Rattus norvegicus: one gene and its partners. The protein of the gene in region 1 interacts with the protein of each later gene in a pairwise test. Links are inferred from orthologs where the notes say so. Each region holds a gene or a part of one and is shown in the gene's direction. Other genes may lie near its edges.

Region 1 (3,749 bases):
TTTCAACCCCATAGGAAGAAGTGCCAACCAAAATTGTACACATGGAGGGAGCCTTAGCTCCAGCCACATATGTAGCAGAGGATGGCCTTATCTGACATCAATGAGAGGAGAGGCCCTTGGTCCTGTGAAGGCTCAATGCCCCCGTGTAGGGGAAGGCCAGGTCAGGAAGATGGGGTGGGGGTTGGGGGGGACACTCATAGAGGCAGAAGGGAGGAAGGGATGGGGGGTTCCAGAGGGGAAATCGGGAAATGAGATAACATTTGAAATGTAAGTAAAGAAAATATTCAATAAGAAATTAAAAAAAAATTGCATGTTTTCACAGGGTCCTCATGAACAGAAGGTAGAGATATGTTGGAGACGGTCATAAAAACAGTGTTTAGACAAAAAATGTGCATATCTTTAAAGTTGGAGTGATGTGTCAAAAAGCCATTACATTAGAGCCTTCAGACAAAATTTGCCAATACTGTGATTTTTGGCCCAAGGAAAAAAGGTTTCAGATTTCTGGACTCTGAAGGGTGAGAGTATACAGTTGGTTGCTTTAAAACACCAAATTAGTAATGATTTTAATAGGAGCCTTAGAAATTAAAAGACTTTGATAACAGGCTTACCAAAACCCCTTGGTGCTAGAATTGAGAAATCCTCTTTAGAAATTCTGATTAGAATTTCTGCTTAATTAATACATGCATTTATGTATTAAATGTATGTGTGTATGTAACATATGTACACACATACCTACGTACGTATAAACATAATACACATATATGGCATATATATCACTAATTTGTGTTTTTGAGAATCTAGAAATGTAGCCCAGGCTAGACTTAAACTTGAAGTGTCTTTCCTCAGTTTCTGAGTGTAAAGATTGTAGGGATATGTCACCATGCTCAGTTCTTCTTGTCTTGGCAGTTATGTTCACAGGTATTGAAATGTACTTTAGAGGTAAAGCAAACCAATTAAAATACTGGCTTGCAGACCTTTGTTTAGGGCATATACTTTAATGTTTATTTTAAAAGCTGACATTCTAGTCATGTAGTTTCATGCCTTGAAGTGATTTTTTTGCTTGAAGTAATTTTGGATTTCCTCTAAGCATAATGGAGGGTTTTTTGTTTTTGTTTTTTTTTCCCTATAAACTGTAGGTCTTTGTATTTACCACTAGAGGGTTCACTTCCAAAGCTAATTGTGATTTGATCATAGTACTTTCTAACAATTTGGTAGTAGAAGGAACCATTAAGAAAACACACTGCTTATCTGAAGCTTACAGCTTAATTATTGATTTCTTATGAAACAAGAACACTTCAGAAAATATTCAGTTTTAATAATATGAAGGTATTCTTATTGAAAAAAAGATATTGACCTAAAGATGTTGAATCACAAATACCAATTTCAGTCTGAAAGCACATGACCACACAGTAAGTCCCCAGACAGGTTTCTAATCTTGAGATTTTTGGTTTATTATATTAAATAACAAGATAGAAAGTATTTTATGTAATCTTATCTTTACTTATCTAGTTTGTTTTTAACTTTTGTTAAGGAAAGCATTCTTTTCTTGTTATATATATATTTTTATATGGTAAATAAGAGGGTATATTTTTGGAACAACATCTATAGTATAGATTGTTACTGTGTATGGTTGTTAGTAGAGAATAAAGAATATTTACTAAATCACATAGGGATTATTTCAAAAGCCTTAAATTGAGAAAAATGTATACATGAAGGTACTTATAAAAAATTACTACCAGTATTATATACAGCATGCTTATGTTTATGCTATATATAGTATAACATAAACAGCAGATACTCACTGTTTGAACTTTAAAGGCTGCTGCTGCTTGATTTTAATACAGAATACAAATCCTAGTAAGAATATTTGTTGTCATCAATGTCTTCTCTTTCCTGAAGCAAGTTAGATTATTATGCTTTCTTTAATACAAGCAGACTTTTTGGGTTGTGTTTTGTTTTTTAAAACAGGATTTGTCTGTGTAGCCCTGGCTTTCCTGGAACTTACCCTAGACATGGCTGGCCTCAAACTCAGTTCCACTTGCTTGTGACTCCTGAGTGCAGAGATGGAGGCATGTGCCACAACATCTGGCAGAAGAGTTTTTATTAAATACGTTTGTATCCCCGTGTAGGCATGAGAAATCTAGTAAAAAAGTATGAGCCACCCAGATCTGAAGAAGTTGCTATTCTGAAACAGAAGTTGGAGCGATGTCATTCTTCTGACCTTGCACTTAATATGGTTACGTAAGTAGGCATGACACAGAAGTTATGTTCATAAAGCCATTGAGTTCAATTATGTCACTGGTACAAAGTTTGTTAATGTTAGCATCTAAATCAAACTTTTAAAAAAAAGTTGAGTACACTGATTTTTGTCTGTTTGGAGTTGAGCTATCTAGTGCCTGTTCTTCAGTAAAAATGTATTTTGTTTTTGAAGATAGGGTCTCACTCCTGTTAACTCATGCTAGTCTGAAGTGAAGGTAATCCTGTTACCTCAGTCTGAGTGCTGTCTTTGTAGCTGTAGGCTACCACATTGGGTTATAATTAATTTTGTTGCAAGTATCAGTTTTGCTAATCAATAACTGCTTATTTATAGAAAGAAGAGGAAAGGCTACGAAGACGATGACTATGTATCAAAGAAACCCAAACAGGAAGAGGTGTGTTTTCCCCTAGATAAACTTATCATTTTTGTTTTCTGGCATGAACTAAGTTAACATGTACTGTTCTGAACGATTATAAGCATTATAGACAGATGGGGCTGAGAATGTTTGAAACAGTGTCTGCTTTGTAGCTCTAGTTGGTCATGAACTCCCAGTTCTTAAGAGAAGTAAGTAAGCCTCAGCCCTCTGAATACTAGGACTACAAGTACGTCTGAAATTTGAAATAATTTTTTACTTACCTGTTTATGCACAATCTGAATTTTAAAGATATCGTTAAGGGGAAGATTTATTTTGGGTAACAGTTCAGGGGGATAAGAATCCATGGCAGGAGAAGGCATGAAGAGGGCTTCCTACAAGGTGGTAGGAGCAAGAGGCAGCTGCTTGTTACATGGTGCTCACAGGGAGCCTCTACATGGTCTATTTTTACATGACAGTGAACCACTTCTAAAGTAAGCTACTTGATTGAAGTAACTTCCTATGATAGAAGGTGTGGTTTGCCAAATTTTATCTGTTCTATAAGAATCCTTCCCTTGCCTTACCCCAGTTTTAAAAACTGTCTCTTAAGAAGTCAAAGATAAACAAGCACAGGCAAAAGGATAGCCTTCGTATACTTCTTCACAGAGCGGGCAGCGGCCTCCATGTCATTGTCACAGTGAAGTGCAGGCAGGACTTAGCACATACCTGTACTTCAGCACTTGAGATACAGCAACACCACAGGTGGCTGCAGCCATAGTAGAAAACCATCTCAGAGACAAACAGATCTATAATAGACTGTTGTCAATCCACATTTTCTTAAAGGGAAGAAAAGAACAAATGGCTCTATTGTTCTTCAGTGTTACCCTCACCACATGTTTTTTCCCTTTAGGAGGAGTGGACGGACGATGACCTGGTAGATGCTCTCTAACCAGTGTAAATGACTGCAGCAGTACTTACTGACCGACGGAAGTAGGAAGCATGTCTGACATTTTACTTTTGTCAAAATAGTGCAATGTGAAAACATCAAAATATATTAAACTTTTCTAATTCTTATATATATTTCCTCTGTGATTGTTTTATACTGCCACCTAGTTAGAATATTCATGACCCACTAGGGTT
Region 2 (3,749 bases), on another chromosome or scaffold:
CACCAAAGACACTCGTATATGTGGGTGAAGGCTCTCTGAAGGAAGAAGTTCAGCTTCTCCATGTCTAGTGAGTTATGTAGGTGTTGTCTTCAGGATTGGGGTCTTGCCATCAGTTGGTGGAGAGCAGCCTAAGGTCTTGGCAACAGTTTGAGTGGGTTTGGGGTGGGGGTGAGGGTGGGTTCCATGAGACTCCATTGACCAACAACTCAATTAGATGTCGACCAATCCTGACACTGGAAGCTTCATTTGGTGACAAGAGATGTCCAGTTGGAGAGTCTGTCTCCCCCATTATTTGGACATTTCATTTAGATTGCCTTCATATATGTTTATTTTAGGAAGCTCTACCATATTAGGTTTTCATGCCCCCCCCCTTAATTTTAGCTGTCTGTCCCTGCTTTTCTCTTCCCTTTCCCATTGGATCCTTCTGTTCTAGCCGCCCCTCAATCCAGCATAACTATCTATTATTCTATTTACCTTTCCTAGGGAGATCTATCTTTCCTCCCTGGTCTGTACTTAAGCTCTGTACTTAAGCTCTGAGGTTCTATATATTGCAGCTTGGTTATCATTGACCTAACAGCTAATATCCACATATAAACTTATACATACCAGATTTGTCTTTCTGGGTCCTCACTCAGAGTGATTTTTTTCCCCCTAGCTTTATCCATTTACCTGTGAATTTCTTCTTCTTCTTCTTCTTCTTCTTCTTCTTCTTCTTCTTCTTCTTCTTCTTCTTCTTCTTCTTCTTCTTCTTCTTCTTTTTTTTAATGGTTGAGTAACACCTTATGGTGTAAAACGCACCACATTTTCTTTATCCAATCTTCTGTTGTGACACATCTAGGTTTCCGATTTCTGATTAGGAAGCATCAATGGACAACATGGTTGGGCAAGTGTCTATCTTGAGGTAGATTCCCATCCTCCTGAGGAACTTCCGAGCTGATTTCCATAGTGACTGTACAAGTTTGCGAACCCACCAGTAATGGATGAATGGAGACTTCATTTTCTGCCTTGGACTTTAGAGGCTTGGGTGGAAAGGCTGCTCTAAAAGGAGCTTACTTAGCACACAGTCCCAGCAAGCCTCACATCACCTTCCCCAGAATCAGTCATTTTCCCTATTGCCGTGGTCCTCCCATGGCGCTACCGAGCGGCTGGAGTTAGTCCGACACCGGAGCTGGTTACTCTAGCCGGTGACTTGGTGGCGGGCAGAGGCTGCTTGGCTTCCTGGCGCCGCCATGTTGGAAGTACAGAGCTCTAACCATGGCTGCGAGCGTCAGGCTCCGACTACCAGCCCCGCCAGCTCGGCAGGGCACGCGGTGGAAGTGCGGCCCGGGCTGTATCTGGGTGGGGCGGCGGCAGTGGCTGGACCGGACTACCTGAGGGAGGCGGGCATCACCGCCGTGCTGACGGTGGACTCGGAACCGGCTTTCCCGGCCGGGGCTGGTTTCGAAGGTCTCCAGAGCCTCTTCGTGCCCGCGCTGGACAAACCCGAGACCGACCTGCTCAGTCACTTGGATCGGTGCGTGGCTTTCATCGGCCAGGCTCGCTCCGAAGGCCGTGCGGTGTTGGTGCACTGGTGAGTGCCCCAGGCTGGGGGGCGGTGCCTTACCCCGTGTCTAGCCTCTCTGCTGAGGCGCCCAGAAGTGGAGGGCGGTGCTGTCATAGCCCAAACCCTCTTTCCTCATCTTCCCTTGGGGTTTGTGGCTCAAGGGAGAGTTCGTAAACCCGCCCTTGGTTAAGGTTTTGTTTGATTTCATTTTCCAGCAACCATTGTCTGTGCATCCATCCTTCCATCCGTCCATCGGTCTATCTGCCTATCTGTGTTTTTGGAGTTTGGGGTTCACCAGATTAGTTCATTAATCACTAACCATTACAATTATTTCATCAAGTTTAGCAGCTTTGTAAGAGAAGTCAGAATCATTCTGGTGAATGGAGTACAGGGGTGAAAGTACGTGATACTTTTCTTCCTCGTCCTAAAGCTCACTAAACAAGAGAAAAACATGGGGCTTTTTGTTTTTTGAGGCAAGGTCTAACTGTACAGATCTGGCAGGCCCGGAACTCGCTATATCGAGCAGGTTGGCTTCAAAAAGCACAGATATCCTCCTGCCTCTGCGTCCACAGTGCTGCACACCTTTAGTGAGCCACCATGCTCGGGCAGTTTTAATCAAAGATTTACGTGACTCGCAGGTTTAGAGAAGCATGCACGGACCAAAGGAAAACCGTTCGTTCACATTCTGGGACTAATTAAGACTGGACAGTCGTATAGAAAAGGGATTGGACAAGAGGAGTGTGACATAATGCTATGGAAATGAGCCAGGAAACTCAGCCTGTCCTGAATTGATCGTCCTCGGGTGTATAGGCAAAGCCCTTTCTGGAATTGTGGTCTTAGGATGTATCGGACTAAATCGATCGGAGAATTAATTTGTCCTGCTTATAGCACGTTAGGCAAACATGCTGCTACTATGATGACACAGCCCCGATCTTAAGAAAATGCCTTTGGGGCAGGTTCTTGGAAAGGTGGAGGAAAGTTAGAGTGATGTTTCTCTCCATATTTTTGTTGTTTTGTTTTTGGGATGGAAGTTTTGCTGTGCGGTCTAGACAGTCCTTGAACTTGGGACCCTCCCGCATCCACCCCCAGTGCTGGTATTCTTTTTTTGTTTTTTGTTTTTTGTTTTTGGAGCTGGGGACCGAACCCAGGGCCTTGCGCTTCCTAGGCAAGCGCTCTACCACTGAGCTAAATCCCCAACCCCAGTGCTGGTATTCTATGCATGTGCTACTTACTGCTTTGACTTTAATTCTGGTTTTTGTGCTTAGAGTTGAAGAAGAGTGCTTCTAGCCTCTCCTTCAAGGTTCGTCAGAACATCAAGTGTCCAACACAGTCGAGTATGAGAGTCAGAGGTGCAGGGCTTCGCCCCAAGAAGCCCAGGTACCTGAAGTTGGGTCTGGGGTACAGACCTGAGTGAGGATCACTACAACCCTGTGTTCGACTATTGATTGACGCCCTGTGTGGCCAACTGTGTTCATTGCCCCTGAGTCCCACCAGAGGGCGCACGATGGCCAAACTGCTGCCTGCACCCATCTCTTCCACAAGGTGGAAGGAGCCAATGCAAATAAAGTTATTAAGTACTGGTGTGGGGGAAAAAAAGAAGGAAAATCTTAGTAGGTGTTTGGGGATCCCAGGGTAGTCCTGTTGGGGTCCGTCTGAACTGCTTCGTTGGACACTTCCTGTGTACCAGTAGTTGTAAAGATTTACACAAGGACAGAAGGTAGTGATGAGAAGTATGGAATCAGATCTGGAACAACTTGAAGTCAAGAGCCGAGGCGCCATGGCAACAGTTAAAACATTGAAGGCAGGCATTGTAGAATAGTTAATGCATCCACACTGTTCGGAATTAAGAAGGAATAAGGAAATAATCGATTCATGTTGTGCGTTGACAGTATTTAAGGGGCAGTGGGTTAATTTGAATGGAAATAGGAATGAGCTGGGTACAGGGCGCCGCACCTGGAATTCCAGCACCGAGGAGGCTGAGGCGGGAGATCGTCCTGACTCAGAAAGGAGTGAGGTGGACCGAAACGTTACCACTAACAGTCGCTGGGCTTTGTCTTTTAGTTTATTTGTTGGTTGATTGATTGAGACAGGGTTTCTCTGCGTAGCCCTGGCCATCCTGGACTCAACTCTGTAAACCAGGCTGGCCTTGAACTCACAGAGATCTGCCTGCCTCCGCCTCCCGAGTGCTGGGATTAGAGGCGTGTGC
Region 3 (3,600 bases), on another chromosome or scaffold:
TAAACTGAGACATCTTTCTACCGCCGTTCTTCCTCCTCCTCCTATTTATTTTATTATATGAGTACACTGTTGCTGTCTTCAGACACACAAGAAGAGGGCATCAGATCTCTTTACAGATGGTTGTGAGCCACCATGTGGTTGCTGGGAATTGAACTCAGGACCTCTGGAAGAGCAGTCAGTGCTCTTAACCACTGAACCATCTCTCCAGCCCTTCTTCTTCATTTAATTACTTGTTGTTCTTGTAAAGAACCCAGGATTATGAGGAGCACTGGTAATTTACTTGTAACCCACTCAAACACGATTATAAGCCATTTCACTAGCAGGCCCTATAGTCATCGGAGAGGAGGAAACTTTGATTGAGAAAATGCCTCCTTAAGACTCAGTGGATCCTCCTGTAGAGCATTTTCTAATCAGTGATCAATGTGGGAGGGCAAAGCCCATTTTAGGTAGGGTCATTCTTGGGTTCTGTAACAAAGCAGGCTGAGCGAGCTATGAGGAACAAGCCAGTAAGCAGCACCCCTCCATGGCCTCTGCATCAGCTCCCGCCAGGTTCCTGCCCTGCTTGAGTTCCAGGCCTCACTGCTTTTGATGAACATGTTACATGGAACTGTGAGTGAAATAAACCTTTTCCTCCCCAAATTATTTTTGGTCATGGTGTTACCTCGGCAATAGCCATAACTAAGACAGCAGGCTTTACATCAGTTCTAGGCATTGGTAGAAGGTGTACAGACGACATCCAGCATGCAGACAGGGTGTTGAAATAAGCAGAAAACGACCACAGTCCCCTGTGTAGCCAGCCTGATCCAAAAAGACCTAAAGAGTTTCTGCGCCCTCGCAGAGAACTTTTTTTTTTTCTTTTTTTTTTTTTCGGAGCTAGGGACCGAACCCAGAGCCTTGCGCTTCCTAGGCAAGCGCTCTACCACTGAGCTAAATCCCCAACCCCCGCAGAGAACTTTTTATTGCAGTGACTTTTGGGCAGATGTCATTCATGGTCCCGCCTGCCTCCTGCTCCACCTGTGTGGAAAGACAACCCCGAGGGAATCGGGTATCTATCTCAACAGACCAAAGGTCCACTCCATCTGCAACAAGTAGAAATAGAGACTCTGAAAAGCCACACCCAAGTACTGAAGTGTTACCAGGGAGACGGCGGTACCCATGGATAATTCTGGCTAATAGCCGAGCGTGTAGGTCAGGGTCAAACGTGCAGCCGACACGCCCCTCTTTGAGTAAAGCGCCAGGAAGACCATGTAAACGTCACTTCCGCCTTCAGTTTGCTACATGAGGGAGGCGGAGCCGCAGTGGGGGCGCGCCTTATTTGCATCATTTCCGGTGAGCCCAGCAGTGACCACGGCAACATGGCCTTGAACGGTGCAGGTGAGCGCTCGGGTTGTTTGGGCACTAGCCGTGGGATGTGGGAGGCGGTTCCCTCCATTTCCTTGGATCTGTCTCCCCTAGATGTCGATGATTTCACCTGGGAGCCTCCGACTGAAGCTGAGACGAAGGTGCTGCAGGCGCGACGGGAGCGGCAGGATCGCATCTCTCGTCTCATGGGCGACTACCTGCTCCGTGGTTACCGCATGCTAGGCGACACGTGCGCGGACTGCGGGGTGAGGCGAGTGATGAGGCTGAGGCTGCGGACTAGGCCGCAAGACCTTTTCTCAGCGCTCTCTTCTGTGGACCCTGTCTCTCAGGCTCACCTGTGTCCATGTACTTTCTGGTTCCCAGACGATCCTCCTCCAAGATAAACAGCGGAAAATCTACTGCGTGGCTTGTCAGGAGCTCGACTCAGACGTGGATAAAGATAACCCGGGTGAGGGGCCGAACGTGCACTATGGGGAGAGGAACGTGGTGATAGTTCCCCAGGAACAGTGAGCCTGGGAGGTGACAGTGGAAATTTCTGCGTGAAGGGGCATTAAGGTGCCTTCTCATTTCAGTCCTAGAGAGGAGATTCATTCAAGAAAAACAATCAGCCTTTTGTTTCTGACACCGTGGCAAGAATCCGAGCCAAATTAGCCATCCCCACGTGTAGAATGGATGTGCAACACGGGTACTTGTGCATGTCGTGGTGCAAGCACTTTACTACCGAAGTACAGATCCCAGTTTAAAGGCACAGACTTAATGCATAAATGAGGCTAAGGCAACTGTGGAGTAGCTGGTTCTCGAGTGTAAAACAGTGGGGCAGTGTTTGGCAATCATGTGTGAGGAGAAAGAAGAGTAGAGACTAGATGGATTGGCCTACACAAAAAAACACCAGACACACAGGGGGATCAGTACAGAGCAAAGGGCTCAGGGGAGCGATGGATCTGGCATCCTGACTATTCCACTTATTTTCTTGTTTTAGCTCTGAATGCACAGGCAGCCCTCTCTCAAGCTCGGGAACACCAGCTGGCCTCTACTACAGAGCCTGCCTCCAGCTCTCGGCCCCCATCCCAGCCACCAGTACCCCGTCCAGAGCACTGTGAGGGAGCTGCAGCAGGGCTCAAGGCAGCCCAGGGGCCTCCTCTTCCTGCTGCACCTCCAAATGCAGACGTGGTGGCTTCCACACAGACAGCCCTCCTACAGAAGCTAACCTGGGCGTCAGTCGAGCTGGGCTCTAGCGCTTCCTTGGAGACTAGTATCCAACTTTGTGGGCTTATCAGGGCTTGTGCTGAGGCCCTGGGCAGCCTGAAGCAGCTGGAGCACTGAGGCCTCTACCCTCACCCCTGTTCCCCCTGAGAAAAACCCTCTAGAAAAACAGCTTTTCCTCCGTGTGGTCTGTTCCTTTCTTGCCTCTGAGTGTGCATGCAAGCCCAGCTCTGCTCGACGTTTTTTCTTATTTTTGGTATCTCACCTTTCCATGGTCTTTTTCTACCTGAATGGAGAGGTTCTACATTCAGGACAAGATGTAAATGATAGGGATAAATGACACCTTATTTTAAGGAGTGACCTCAGTCCCCTCAAAAGTTGGGTCACTATCATTGTCTCTGATCCTATACCCCCTTCATCCACCTTTTGGACCTGATTGCCATTTGAAGTTTAGTCCCCTTGGTGGTTTCCTTTCCTTCCTTTGACCATTCTGATTCCATCATCTTGCTCCAGCTTATGGCCATTGCCATCTTGACAAATTGTGGGGAGGGCAATGGTGCACTTTAAGAGCCAGGCACAGTCTTACTGCAGACTCCAGCCTCCTGCATCCCCATGCTTTTAGAATTGTTCCCTTGGGAGAAGAATAGTGTAGAACAAACATTGTGTAGGAATGAGGCAGCAAAAAGAGTCGGCCTCACTCCTTCTATCCAGTTCCTTGATGGGTTTTCCGGCTCCAGGGTCATCTCCGCGTTAAGTGTGGCTCCGCCCATGCAGAGGGGTGGAGCATAGGCGGAGTCGGAGGAGTCTGGGACGGAACAAAGCCCGGCCTGCGGGCGGCGGCTGGGCTCTCTCCGGAGGCCGGGCCACAGAGAGCGGGTCCTCTGGGCAGCAGTCCGCAGCAAACGTAGGAGGGGTGGAGGCGGCATCGCGGTCCGCGCGGTCTGGCTATGAACGGGCTGCCCTCAACTGAGGCGCCCGGTGGCGCGGGCTGCGCTCTGGCTGGGCTCCCGCCGCTACCGCGCGGCCTCAGCGGCC

Evidence for each region.
Region 2: the proteins of Ccnh (region 1) and Dusp12 interact in binary tests that used the Homo sapiens proteins (3 or more experiments, as listed by UniProt). The two-hybrid records come from large-scale screens. The link is inferred for Rattus norvegicus from reciprocal best matches to the Homo sapiens genes CCNH and DUSP12.
Region 3: the proteins of Ccnh (region 1) and Znrd2 interact in binary tests that used the Homo sapiens proteins (3 or more experiments, as listed by UniProt). The two-hybrid records come from large-scale screens. The link is inferred for Rattus norvegicus from reciprocal best matches to the Homo sapiens genes CCNH and ZNRD2.

What each region holds. Positions count from the first base shown.
Region 1 is NC_086020.1:17,587,392-17,591,140, forward strand, and holds the end of Ccnh (cyclin-H), read left to right. Parts: intron 1-322; coding exon of another isoform or gene 323-333; exon of another isoform or gene 334-2,123; intron 2,124-2,129; coding exon 2,130-2,241; intron 2,242-2,590; coding exon 2,591-2,651; intron 2,652-3,519; coding exon 3,520-3,558; 3' UTR 3,559-3,687; downstream 3,688-3,749. UniProt on the Homo sapiens protein: Regulates CDK7, the catalytic subunit of the CDK-activating kinase (CAK) enzymatic complex. CAK activates the cyclin-associated kinases CDK1, CDK2, CDK4 and CDK6 by threonine phosphorylation.
Region 2 is NC_086031.1:85,661,470-85,665,218, reverse strand, and holds the start of Dusp12 (dual specificity protein phosphatase 12), read left to right. Parts: upstream 1-1,211; 5' UTR 1,212-1,229; coding exon 1,230-1,570; intron 1,571-3,749. UniProt on the Homo sapiens protein: Dual specificity phosphatase; can dephosphorylate both phosphotyrosine and phosphoserine or phosphothreonine residues. Can dephosphorylate glucokinase (in vitro).
Region 3 is NC_086019.1:212,446,452-212,450,051, reverse strand, and holds Znrd2 (protein ZNRD2), read left to right. Parts: upstream 1-1,258; 5' UTR 1,259-1,355; coding exon 1,356-1,374; intron 1,375-1,455; coding exon 1,456-1,607; intron 1,608-1,725; coding exon 1,726-1,810; intron 1,811-1,934; coding exon of another isoform or gene 1,935-1,984; exon of another isoform or gene 1,985-2,341; coding exon 2,342-2,685; 3' UTR 2,686-3,042; downstream 3,043-3,600. Other genes in the region: Fam89b (leucine repeat adapter protein 25), read left to right, coding at 3,513-3,600. UniProt on the Homo sapiens protein: Might play a role in mitosis. Antigenic molecule. Could be a centromere-associated protein. May induce anti-centromere antibodies.